Linked DNA regions of Astyanax mexicanus. The protein of the gene in region 1 purifies or fractionates together with the protein of each later gene. This does not show direct contact. Links are inferred from orthologs where the notes say so. Each region holds a gene or a part of one and is shown in the gene's direction. Other genes may lie near its edges.

Region 1 (6,425 bases):
AATGCAAACAAAAAGATTAAAACGCAACATACGTAAACGTAGCGAACAACAACATTTACAAAGCAAACAAAAATATGACAACGCAACTACATTTCAGAAACGCTTCATTAAGGGAACGCAAATACATTGCCTCACCGGAAATGCTCCTGGCCGCTAGAGGGCAATGTTTTCTGAAATGCTGCGTTTTCTTAATGTACAGTGTGTCCCAATTCAGGGGCTGCATTCTTCGAAGGACGCGGTCTACGAAGGTGTGTCCTTAGAAGGATGGGTAGGCTGCGATGGCAGTACTGAAATGGGACAGTCTACCCTACGGAGTATTTCCTGTTTCCTGTTTGAGATTCTACCCGCCACAACCAAAGTCAGAGCTGAGAAATGAGCCAGAGATTTTGATTCTAGTTTTGCTTCAGACCAAAAAATACCCAATTAATTAAGTCCAGGTTAATAAACTGTGCAGTTACTTAAATGTTTTAAATGTGAACGGATGGAACTGAACATAAACAAATAAAAGGGCGCTTGAAATGAAGTTGAAAAAAGAGAATAAAATAGAATAATGTATTATTTAGTTTATATATATTGTATTATATATTATATATTTATTATGTATTATGTCGTTTAAAGATATATAAATACTATATAAAAAGAAATATACTTATAAATAAACTAAATAATACATTAATACATACACACACACACATATATATATATATATATAAATTATATAATTTATAATATCTATAAGTATTTATATATCTATAAACTACATAATACTACATAATACAGTTGACTCCTCTGCTGACTCCGCCTTTTCGTGCTGAAATAAGTCGGCATGCAATGAATCTTGGGATACTGTAGGCTGTGAAGGATACACCCGGTGCATCCTTCGTTTCCGAGGAAAAGAAGGCTGCATTCGTCGGCTGCATTCGAAGGAGTCTTCGAAATGGGACAGCCTAGTCGCACCGCAGTGACGTAATCGCCTTCAAATTAATCCTTCGAAGGATGCAGCCCCTGAATTGGGACACACCTTTTGTCTGCTTTGTGTGCCTTTCTTGGCCACCTTAGTTTAGAGGTTTGTACATTAATATTTTCACACTATTAAAAAGACTATATAGCATTAGCCTGTAGTATGCAATTGGCATGCAGCTACTGTCAGCTACCAATCACATTGCAGAGTCAGAACTAACTGTGGTATAATAGCTGATATTTAAATGTAAATAAAATAATCTTAGATTGTCAAAGTGGAATAATTATATTTGTAGTAGTGGGGCCAAACATATTGTATTAATCACAGCAATATTATGTGATAATTAATGATTAAAATCATGCATAAAATATGTTAACTCTGGTACTTCCCTCTATTTGTGTATTTTGGGAGGCAGACTGTATTAACTCTGTGCAATTAATCCTTTATTTTTATATTTTCTTCATCATACAAATCAAGAAATTCCAACACTACTAAATATACATATACCTCCCTGCTAATTAATCTGAAAAATTGGTGGCATTCCCCTTATTAAAATGGATGTAAATGTTAAATTAGACATGACCTATTGTGGCACAATGAAAATACATAATTTAGGGTCTTCCAGCCTTTACCGGTTAGGCTCTTTTTTTTAAACCTCAAGTAAGCACTCAGTCAACCATAACTATATTTATTCCATATTTAGTTTGGGTTCCATTCCATTATATAAATGTTTTAATTCGATTTCTTTAATTTATCTAGTATTTACATACTGTATTTTTTCCAGCTCAGCATATCACCTGATAGCATGCTGGGAGTGATTGGTAATCATTTCTTTCAAGGCTTCTGTTTTTTCCTTTATTCTTTATTCAGCAAACAATAAGTCCGATATTAATCAATATATAGCATGTGGGCCAAAAAACAAAATCATACCTGAATGTATGTACGAATTATATGCTCATAAATGCTGATTCAGCTTGAGAACAGCACACCTGTCAGAATGTATTAAGCTGTATCACGATGTTTTTTATGTGTATTTGCTTGAAACATATAGTAAACCAGATTTTGAAAGCTGGAAAATATTAAATACTGAATTTTGCTGAATCAGCTGTAATTCCACATGGCACAAGCTGAATGTGCTTAGCAGCTACAGGTTGGAGGCCTTTGAGCCAATGGGAGAAGCATGATGTGAAGTGCAGGGGTTGTGTTCCCCTCAGTCAGGGGGCTCACCGTCCGCTTGAGGTTAGCCCCAGTCTAAGTTATTTTCCTTAGAAACTTCTGTTTTATGTAATATAAGCTCAAGCTGCCTCTTTGAAACTGCTGTATGGTAGTCTACCTGTGCGCTGAAGCATTTATTCGCTTCAGCCAAAGTTCAGCAAGCCTCATCCTTCCCATACAGAAATATATAAAAGGTGCCTTTATTAATAAATGATATACTGTGAGCAGGGTAGTGTAATGTATAGGGTAACCAGTAATGCAAATATAACTAATGTACTACAGCAGGTCTTGAGGTCTTGCTCTATACTGAATTAATAGGAAATTGTGACCAAATGTTTGTGTTTGGTTTGTTTGAAAGAAAAATGTACTGTATGATGTACCATTATCATTTACCATTACCATTTCTAGGGTGTTTACAGTAATCTAATCAATTATAGTGCAATAATGATCAACATACATGTATATGATATGCAATATAGATGTCCCAGAGCTCAGGAATGGCTGTGAACTCAATGCTATCTTTGAGTATTTCCATGCAGTGAAATACCGGCACACTTTAACCAGAATCAACCTGTATCTGCAGAAAACAGGGCTGTTCTTCAGAGAACGTCCGTCTCCATCAGCCTGCTGGTTCAAATACAATATATTTAATATATGGTATGTATTGCACTTTCGCAGTATTGCACTCCAGCAGGCCGGGTTCAGTCTCACATCTCAAAATTGTAGGCTATAAAATTAACTCAGTAGATTAACTCAGTTTGCACAGGATGATGTAGAAAATATTTTCTTAATAAAAGAAAATGTTTCCTTTTTGCAGTCTGTCTTTGTCTTTTATGATCAACCACAAAATCATATATTTTTTGCATATATTCTTTGCCTCCTTTCTGTAAAACCTGTAAAAAATATTTTGTGTACAGTAGTGATGGGAATTACTGCTCTTTTTAGAGAGTTGGTAATTTTGTCTTTATATATATATATATATATGAAAATTAAGAGATTATCAGTTTCTCTGATTTTGCTATTTATAGGTTTATGTTTGAGTAAAACAAACATTGTTGTTTTATTCTATAAACTACAGGCAACATTTCTCCCACATTCCAAATAAATTATTGTCATTTAGAGCATTTATTTGCATAAAATGAGAAATGTCTGAAATAATAAATAAGATGATTTCAGACTTCAAATATTGCAAAGAAAACAGGTTCATATTCATTAAGAGTTTTTCAAGAGGAGAAAAACCTGCCATTGGCCACCTTAACCCTTTCTCATAACTGGATTCACCTGTGAATGTAGGTCAAGGGTCAATGAGCTTACAATCACATTTTGTGCTCCAATAATTAGTGCTAAAGATATGCCAATCAATAAAACAACAAGGGAGTCCAAATTTAGTTTAAAGAATTATTGCAAACTTTCTGTAAATCCTATAAACTATAAAAATTTAATCCTATAAAAATTTCACTTCTCAAACATCACTGTGTTTTTCTGTTATATGATATATTTAACTGAAAGTGCTGATCTGAACAACCAATGATTTATAAAGGAAAATCAGGAAAATGATCAGGGGTTTCTAAACTTTTCCATACCACTGTAGCTGTAATATAGTCTTCAATATTACATTTACAATGTAAAAAAATCATAAAAAGAAAGAAAACACAGAAAGAAAAGAGGTGTGTCCAAAGCAGTGCAGTGACCAGTGATACTGTACAGGTCAACAGTAAATAAAAAGCAAATAGTAAATAAATGTTGATATTAAACATCGTGTTGATAAGTTCCTTAATTATTAAGGAAGATTTTAGAATATGTTTATTGATGCCTCCACTAAAGGATTGGACTATATAAATGTGTAAAAAAAGTTAATGTTGTGTAATAATTAGAGGCGCTGCAGGGTTCAGCCACTAGTGGGCGGTGTTGTAGAGAACCGGTGCTGCAGAGACACAACGAAGAAAACAGCATAAGGTCAAAACAGAGGAGTGGGACTGTAGAAATTAATAAGATGATTTTTATACAAATTAAAGTTTTCTGCTGTCACTAACACGAAATATCCGCAGGACTGAGACACAGCAGGTAAGATACAGTACTGCTGCTTATGGAGAGATAATACAGCTCTGTGATTTTACTTTAAATAAGCTAGTTAGCTACCAAGGTAGGTATTTAACTTAGTTAGCTTAGCTAGCTAAACTCTTACTTTATTATTATCTAGAGATAATTAACTAGTTCACTCCGGTCATGGTAATTCTTAGCTAACTACCTCCATTATAGAAAATAATTTCAAATACCTAGAGCTATAAATAAAAGTAGAATAGTCTGTGGTGTTTCAGTAGTTAGCTTAGCTTAGTTTATTAGCTGAGTTAGCTAGCCTAACTGTCTGAGTATTTGTATATATAATGTATTCAGCTCTGGAAAAAAAAAATAAAAGAGCACTTCAGTTTCTGAATCAGTTTCTCTGATTTTGCTATTTATAGGTTTATGTTTTGAGTAAAATTAACATTGTTGTTTTTTCATTAAACTACAGACAACATTTCTCCCAAGTTACAAATAAAAATATTGTCATTTAAGAGCATTTATTTACAGAAAATGAGAAATGGCTGAAATAATAAAAAAGATGCAGAGCTTTCAGACCTCAAATAATGCAAATAAAACAAGTTCATATTCATAAAGTTTTAAGAGTTCAGAAATCAATATTTGGTGGAATATTCCTAGTTTGCATGCATGTTGGCATGTTATCCTCCACCAGTCTTACACACTGCTTTTGGATAACTTTTTGCCACTCCTGGTGCACAAATTCAAGCAGTTCAACTTAATTCTCCCATACTTTCTTATTATTCATAATATGCTTCATGTCATCCAATTAAACTGGACTAGTTAGCCTTTGTGTAATGAAATATACAGTTTGGTTATTGTCTCTAAATAGGCTTAAGAAATTATTTTGTTTATGTATACATACATTTTTCACAGTACCATAAAATAGTTTTCATATTTTCTACCTAAACATCACAAATTATTGTTTCACTTGATATTTGTCTGCATTTGTCTCTATTTTCTCCAGGTTTCTCTTCCCACACTCCCTCAGGAATCGCTATGGCGCGCCACAGTAAGATACAGAAACAGGTCTTGTCGCTGTATCGTCAGTTTCTGCGCGCAGGACGAGACAAGCCAGGGTTTGTCCCGAGGATACAGGAGGAGTTCCGAGCGAATGCTGCTATTAAAAAGACAGACATCATGCACATCGAGTACCTCCTGCGACGCGGTCAGCGGCAGCTAGAACAGCTCAAAGATGTGAACACTAAACAGCTGGGAGTCTTCAGCAAATCCAACGAGGACAGCTGATGATGGACTGCTGGATCTGACATGCAGACTGCGGACAGTATTCCAGGAGATGGATGAAATATTATTAAAAATATGGAACATCATGTTGATGGGTCTTTAAATTATGAGAGACATTTTCTTTTTAAGAACGTGTGTTTGTGAGCATAAATTATTTTATGTGTGGTTACTTTTAGGCTCTAGGTGTTTCATCATCCCTGTATCCCACTATCACACTTCCATATCCACCTTATTTATATTATTAATATCATCCAAACGGAGTATCCTGTGTAGTGGCAAATATCAGACATGTTTACCTGGTGTATCCACTGGCAGTGGAGCATGACCATATGACCATCAAGAAATTTAAATGAATAAAGAAGTCTCTTTTATTAAAAGGCAGTGTTTTATGGGCTATGTTTGCTACTCCTTCAAGCTTTTTATAAGGTCAGTAATATAACCAGAAATGTGCATTTCCTGAAGGGAACACAGAATGTTTGTGAAGCTCAATGGAAGGAGCGAGGGATGAAAGAAATACAAACAGATGAGTACATGTAGTTTGGTGGCTGTCAGATAAAGGGGACACTGGGAATTTGGTTGAGGCAAAATGAATGGGAATAAAATGGGAGACAAATATGACAAATACATAAATCGTCATTGTCCAATGAAAAAAAAAATATCTGTTTTTGTCGATTTTTAGTTTACTACATAATTTGAACAGACAAACTATCCCTTATATTGTGTCAAGATTTCTTGATTAACAGACCAAAAGAAAAATTGGAAAAAATAACCTGAAATAAACTTATTTTACATTGACTTCTATTAAAAAAATATATTCTGTTGCTGTTTTGGAGATGCTTGTTTTTCATTGGACAGTGACGAAATGCAGGTCAAAATTACACCTTATATTCAATGTTTTTTTTTTTTCATTATTTGAAAATTGTCT
Region 2 (7,747 bases), on another chromosome or scaffold:
TCTGTAGCAGCACTCCATCCCATTACACTCCATTTCCCCAAAAAGTTTTTTTTTTTTGTGGATCGCAATCTAACGGCTTTTAAACCCCAGATTTACTAATCATAATGTAGGAACTAATATGAATTATTTAGTTAATTATTTTGTGGAGTCCCACAGGGTTATACTTTAGGTACAGGTCTTTAATATCAAATATATTAGTAAATAACTGATATGTGGACCTATATACAGAGTTGTATGTGTTTGTATATAAAACGTTTTACAGCATTTTAGCCACGCCCACTTATTCTAAAGTTACAAGGAGTGTTTTTCGCCAGCCATCAGCTGCCGGAGCCCCGAGAGAGAGAGAGAGAGATCACAATTGTCCTTGCTCTCTCTGGGTGGGTACAGTAGATGGCACTCTTCTTTCCCCTCATCACTCCTAGGGTGATGTGGATCAACACAAAGCTGCGTCTGTGAGCTGATGTATCAGAACCGAGTCGTTGAGCTTTCCTCTGAGCGTTAGCGCTGTGATGCTACTCTGCAATGCTAAATCAGCAGCAGTTCAAAATAGAGTACATGGTATTTTCTGCCAGTGTCAAAAATCAGTCAAACCAGAGGTTAATATACTCACTTTTACAAGGTTATGTATTAACGCTGGGTATTTCAGTCCATGCTCACGAGAAGCTGCAGCGATACGAGATATCCACAACTACAGCAGCAAAACAGAGCAGATAAACAGAACAGATTATAATATGTAAAAAAAAAAAACAATTCAATATCAACGATACTTTAATTCAATACTACAATACTTTAAGTCTCGAAAAGGGGCAGAAAGTGTAAATAAATCTGAATCTGCATAAACACAATTCTCTAAATTTTATAGAACAACATAAATCATTAGCAAAAATAATAACATATGAAATATTTAGAAATGTATACTACTATTACTACCACTACTACTACTACTACTAATAATAATAATACAATTATAGTAGCTTTGTAATATATTTTATAGCAACTTTGCCAAACTAGCTGTCAAGCGTTTTTTGCTATGAGTAAGAAGAACTGTGAAGTTTTACTAAAATTAAACCTAATGGTGACTTAAATGTGAGAGAAAATGCATTCAATAAAAACGACAACCACAAGGATCTAAACGACTTTGTGGGATATGTGGTAGAGCAGTATAGGATTTGTGAAAGGAACTGTGTTTAAAAAAAAAAAAAAAAAAAACATTAAAAACAAAAGCACAAATTGTGTCTGGTTTTATTGTCTCACCGTTCTCATGCTGCGTCGTTTGACCTTCCTGGCCTTGGTTGCGTAGACGAAGGCCCTGCAGACGGTTCGCACCGCCAGCTTATAGCAGCGGTTCTTTCTGCCCCTGAAGTGCTGCAACATTAAATAACACATAATTACAACAGATGATACCACCTTTACCTGCTCCAACACTGATACTATGATGCAGTGCTGTGAAATATATATATATATATATATATATATATATATATATATATATATATATATATATATATATATATATATTTCCTAGTTTCTGTCTTTCTTTATTGTAGCTTTACTAGAGGGTTTTCCAGCATGAATCAAAGTTTTAAGGCTATATTTCACTTAGAATATTGATTAAGACACAATGAATGCTGGAGACAAGCTCTATGTGTTTGTATATTTATGCTCCTATTTATGATATCACAGTTTATGTGCATGTATACACATTAACGCAATCTCATACTGCAGTAAATAATTATGAAGTATTTTGCCGCAGCATCCCAATTAACTAGCTCTCTTAGATTCAAGTCAGCGTATCAGTATAGGAGCTGGAGTGTGTTACACTCTATTGTTCTCTGAACCAATACAACCAAATCAACTTACAGTACCAGTCAAAAGTTTGGACACCTTAAATTCAGTGGTTTTCATTATTTTAGAAAGTTTGGCTTTGTAGATTAATACTAAACTCATCTAAACTATGAAGAAACACATTTAGAGTGTTACACAAACCAGAATATGCTTTATATATTTTACATTCTTCAAACAAAGTAGCACCTCTTGCTTAGAAGACATTCAGGCTTTCAGTTAACAGCTGTGCTGAACTCGTCAAGAGTTAATTACTTATATTTCTTGCCTCTTAAGCCTCTGAGAGCATCAGTTTTAATGTTTTAAAGAGGTAGAGTTGGTATACAGTAGGGGTGGGCAATATTAGATTGTATACAATACATCGTGACACAGAAATATCATGACATAAAAAATCCATATTGTGATAATAGGGCTGTTCTGTCTTAAAAGTAGTCTATTATTTACTGTGAAGCTTTAGGTGTATTTATTGTATAATTGTTTTAGTTTGCAGTTTATATGCATGCACTAAATATTCTGCAATATTATTTGCTGCATTATATTATTTTATGCTATATTATTTATTTTGCCACATTATGATGATACTGTTATACTCCTATACTATATTCCTATACTGTTAAGCAGGTTTTTATAATGTGAGATTCAAAGTTTGAACGCTAGGTGTCAGAAACGGGCCATAGAGTCTAAAAGCGGAGAGGGTGCGCATTTCTAGCGCAGAAAAACGGGCCAAAGAGTCTAAAAGCGGAGAGAGTGTGCATTTCTAGCGCAGAAAAAAATGGCCAAAAAGTGTAAAAGCGGAGAGAATTCGCATTTTTAGCGCAAAAAAACGGCCAAAGAGTCTAAAAGCGGAGAGGATGCACATTTCTAGCGCAGAAAAACGGGCCAAAGAGTCTAAAAGCGGAGAAGGTGCGCAGATGATAGAACTGGCACTCATCAGGACCAGTCCAAAAAAGGAAGGACAAGAGTTCCCTGTGTTGCATAGGATAAGTTTATCAGAATTTCCGGCCTATTTTAAGTATTTTGGTTTGTTTAACTGTTTTATTAAGTTACTACATGATTTTTTTTTATGTGTTTCTTCATAGTCTGGATCAGGTGTGTTCAGATTCAGAGCATTAGCACTGGAGGCTGGCTGGATATAAAGGTGAAGCTGAAGGTAAATTCTAAAGGTAAAAAGCTCCTCTTTACCCGCGCATTCTTCAGCAGCTCCTGCACCTTCCAGTAGCGGTCGGGTCCTCGGCTCCTGATCCAGCAGGGTAAAGTCAGAAACACCATGATGATCTATCTGTATCAGAAACACGCGCCGTGACTCTGACCTTAATCTCCAATACAGCAGCGTGACTGCTGTTCCGGAGCCACTGCGCACTGCGCATGCGCTATTCAGTAAAAGTCCCGTCAAGGTCATTTATTTACCATCTACATTTTTAATTAAAATATAATTAACAAAAAATATATAATAATAAATAAGAATAATAAAGTACGATAAGAACAATATATAAAATATTATTATTAAGATAAACGTATCCTGTGCCAAATATGTTATCAATAACAAAATAAAAGAACTGCTATATAAAGTCTTGGATAGACGCAACCCAGTTAATACTATTTTGTGTAAAAAAAAAAAAAACATGCATATAAGTGATGCATGTGTTTTTTGTAAAGGAGCCACAGACTCAATTAAATCCTTTTTTTAAATTATGTTTTTCTTGCTCTTTATGGATTGATTTTTTTAGACTTAAAGAGGAGATTGGGTAAGGAAATTCCTCTCAAAGTCCGATATATATTGTATATTTTTGGTTTGACCACAAGGAAAAAATTGTAGTAAATTTAATTAGGTATATTTATATATACACATTATATATACACATATGCATACATATATATTTATATATATATACATACTCAAAACTAAATTTGCTAAAAAGATGCCATTATTTCTAATAAGATGTAAATAATTATACACACTCATTGACATATTTTCGACAAATTAAAAATAAATAAATAAATAAATCCATGCATATTTTGAAGCTTTTCAGTTTTATTTGAATCCTACTTTTCTTTTTCTGTTTGTTTGTTTTTTTTGTTTAGGTTTGTTTGTTTCTTTCTGTTTTTGTTTCGATATGCTGGTTGTATATCATGTGAATTTGACCTATTCTTTCTATTTTAGGCTGTTGGATAGTATTGTTTACCAAATAATAAAAAAATTCTGGGGAGATATTAACTTGTGGTTTCTGAAGCTAGTAACTCTGATAAACTCTTCCTCTTCCTCTCATTGGCCGGTCCTGATGAGTGCCAGTTTCGTCATGGCGTTTTTTTAAATGTATTTTTTTTTTTGTAATAGCGACTGCACTTAAGGATACTTTCAAAGTTCTTGATTTTTTTTTTTTTTAGATTGAATGACCTTCTTAAAGTATTTTTTCTTTATTTAGTTGAGTAGTTGTTGCTTCTCATAATCTGGATTAGTACATTACTCAAATATTCACTATTCACTGTATACCTGTAACTCTACCTCTTCACGACTTTACTTTAATTGATGCTCTCAAACACTTTATTAAGAGACAAGAAATTCAAGTAATTAACTCTTGACGAGTTCAGCACAGCTGTTAACTGAAAGCGTGAATTTTCAGGTGACGAATCTGGAGAATGTTGAAGAATAAAAAATAAAAAAACACATTCTGGTATTTAGCTGGTAAACACTTTTTTATTTGCTAAATAATTTCATATGATTTTCTTCGTAGTTTTTGGTGAGTTTAGTATTAATCTAAAATGCATTTTTTTAAATAATGCAAAACACTGAATTTAAGGTGTTTCCAAAGTTTTGACTGGTAACTACCACACGTGGCCTCGGGGTGGCGGCGGTGCGGTGATGGTGTCAGGGGCAGCGCAGGGGCTGACGGGCCGGTGGAGGACAGTGTTCTGTAACAGTAGCGATGGCGGCGCTGTGTGTGTGCTCGGCTCGGCAGGGCGCTGCGGCTCTCCGCTCTTCCTCCGGCCTGCTGGTAAGATTTACACACACCGCCGGTCAGTTACCGGCATAAACTTATAATATAGACAACTTAAAACCGCGAGGTTCTGGCTTTTATATGTGTTATTGAGCCGGTTAGCCCGTTAGCTTAGCATAGCTCAGCGTAGCCAGGTCACTTATAGGTAGCTACTGACTTATGCTAACAGCTAACAATTAGCTTAGCTACTGTTAAGTTAGTTAGTCAACCAGATAAAAGTTTTAGGGGACAGTTCAGCTTTTTTATTTGTAGCTGGATGTGTAACTGAGCTGCTCTTTGGGTGTTTGCTAGCTAGTGTTATCCTAGCTAATTTGTATTTTAGCTGTAACAGCTAGCTAGCTGCTGAACCTCTGACCTTTAAACAGTAACTACATAGTTTTAGAGCTAATAATATTATCTAGCTTTAATTACTGACAACAAACATGTGCTGTAACTTATTAAGCCTTTCTTTGGCCAGTTAAATTAATTAAACACACACATATAGTGATAGCTTAGTGTACAGTTATGAAAGCTGTACAGTTATGAAACCTGTGTGCTATGTAACTAGTTAGCTACACTGTGGTGTAGAGTGACAGCTGGAGGAACAAGTAAACATCACCCTTATTCATTTCCTAAACCTCCCAGCTGAAGCTTAGTGAAGTTTCAGCTTTTATTTAATAATTTTATATACATACAGCTCTGGAAAAAACAGTTTTCTGATTTTGCTTTTTGTAGGTTTATGTTTGAGTAAAATTAACATTGTTTTATTACATAAACTATGACAACATTTCTCCCAAATTCCAAATAAAACATATTGTTTTTTACGTCATTTATTTGCAGAAAATGAGAGATGGCTGAAATAACAAAAAAAAGATGCAGAGCTTTGAGACCTCAAATAATGCAAAGAAAACAAGTTCATGTTTATGGTGGAACCCCATGTTCTCCTCCACCAGTCTTACACACTGCTTTTGGATAACTTTATGCTGCTTTATCCCTGGTGCAAAATTTAAGCAGTCCAGTTTGGTTTGATGGCTTGTGATCATCCATCTTCCTCTTAATTATATTCCAGAGGTTTTAAATTTGGTAAAATCAAAGAAACTTGTCATTTTTAAGTGGTCTCTTATTTTCTTTCAAGAGCTGTATAAGAATTTTAAATGCCATTCAGACAGATTTACTCAGATTTGTCAAGTCAAGTCAAGTCATTATCAACCGCTTTATCCATTAAGGGTCGCGGGGGGGTGCTGGAGCCTATCCCAGCAGGCATCGGGCAGAAGGCAGGATACACCCTGGACAGGCCGCCAATCCATCGCAGGGCAGACAGACACAGACAGACAAACAGACACATGCACTCGCACACTCACACCTAGGGGGCAATTTGTATACTCAAATTTGTATAGATTTGTTTTTTTAATACAGTTTTTAAGCAGTGTAACACCTTGATTACAACATCAACAATATGTTTTGATGTATTAAATCAAAACCCCTCTATAGTGATAAGTATCACGTCGCCAAGTTCTACCCAATACACAGCCCTACTTAAGAGTTATATGGGTTTACAATAGGGGGTGTTGTAATGAGGGCCGGAGTCCAGATCAGTGTGCTGATCTCCTGCTCCAACAGGTGAGTTTATTAGAGTTGCTTGATCAGGTAAATCTCCAAACTGTGCACTATATATATATATATATATATATATATATATATATATATATATATATATATATATATATATATATATATATAATTACATTACTTTACACAGTAATTTCTAGGACAATATATCGTTAAAAAAATATATATGTATTTATGATGTTATGGCGGGCCAATTTAAAATGTGCTGATTCAGCATCATTCATATTACAGCTTCTTGGGGAAACGTAGAATCAGAGATGGGTGTGTCATATCGTATCGTACACAATAATATCGCAAACATTTTTGAATATCGTGAACAATTGGAGATTATACCTTGAAATATCGTACCGTATTAACCACCCCTAATTATCACAGGGTACTACCTTTTTACTGTTTTTAGCAAAAGAAAAATTCACACTGTTCTCATTTCCCATTATATATCTACTAGAGACAGATTATATCTGTTTAGTATCTGTTTATTTTACTTTAATCCTGGATATATTGAGATATTTGGAGTGCATGATTATTATATTATATATATATATATATATATTATCAAATTAAATGCAATAATAAAATTAAATTTTCATTTTCATGCAGTAGTGTATTCTTGAAATATATATTTTTAATTTTGTGTTTTGTCACATCGCCAAGAGTATTGTAATCGCGGAAATACCATAAAGTATTATTAGATTATTTTAGCGATATTATTTTAGGGCCATATCGCCCTTTCCCTTTTTTTGGGGGCCTAATATCATCTCTAGAAGGAAACACAACTTCAGGGATCCACTGCTCGCTATCACAGTCTCTGTTTGGCTCATATGTCCCACAGTACCGTAATTAAGTTATGAGATCCAGATCTCATATTTCCCCTGTTGTTTGTGATGTTTTGTTGTATTAAATCCCCGTTGTTGATCTGAACGGTATCCTGTGTGTTTTCTCCTCTCTCTCTGCACAGATGAGAGCTGTTAGTGTTTAGGAGAATCTGGTTCTGTCGTGCTGTAAATGCTCCTTGTTTATTTTACCTTTGTTTATTTTCTGGGTTCTCTCTCAGGCTTTGCGGTATGTCCAGACCGCTGCAGCTGCGGCTCCGGCGGTTCAGCCGCGGATTAAGAAGTTCCAGATTTACCGCTGGGACCCGGACACACCCGGAGACAAACCCCGCATGCAGACCTACGAGGTCGACCTCAACGCGTGAGTGCTGATCCTCATCCTGTTGTGTAGAGTTGTCTTGATTACATTTTTCGAATCATTTGATTTTAAGTATCTGCCAATATGGAGTCCCGATCCGATACAATACA

The links.
Region 2: the proteins of sdhaf1 (region 1) and sdhb purify together in Homo sapiens (co-immunoprecipitation; 3 studies listed by BioGRID and IntAct, with this or other methods). This does not show direct contact. The link is inferred for Astyanax mexicanus from reciprocal best matches to the Homo sapiens genes SDHAF1 and SDHB.

The regions. Positions count from the first base shown.
Region 1 is NC_064424.1:5,385,894-5,392,318, forward strand, and holds sdhaf1 (succinate dehydrogenase assembly factor 1, mitochondrial), read left to right. Parts: upstream 1-4,084; 5' UTR 4,085-4,240; intron 4,241-5,222; 5' UTR 5,223-5,254; coding exon 5,255-5,503; 3' UTR 5,504-5,877; downstream 5,878-6,425.
Region 2 is NC_064431.1:31,483,996-31,491,742, reverse strand, and holds the start of sdhb (succinate dehydrogenase [ubiquinone] iron-sulfur subunit, mitochondrial), read left to right. Parts: upstream 1-4,725; 5' UTR 4,726-4,766; coding exon 4,767-4,835; intron 4,836-7,500; coding exon 7,501-7,640; intron 7,641-7,747. Other genes in the region: mrpl20 (39S ribosomal protein L20, mitochondrial), read right to left, coding at 611-688, 1,255-1,365, 3,025-3,111. UniProt on the Homo sapiens protein: Iron-sulfur protein (IP) subunit of the succinate dehydrogenase complex (mitochondrial respiratory chain complex II), responsible for transferring electrons from succinate to ubiquinone (coenzyme Q).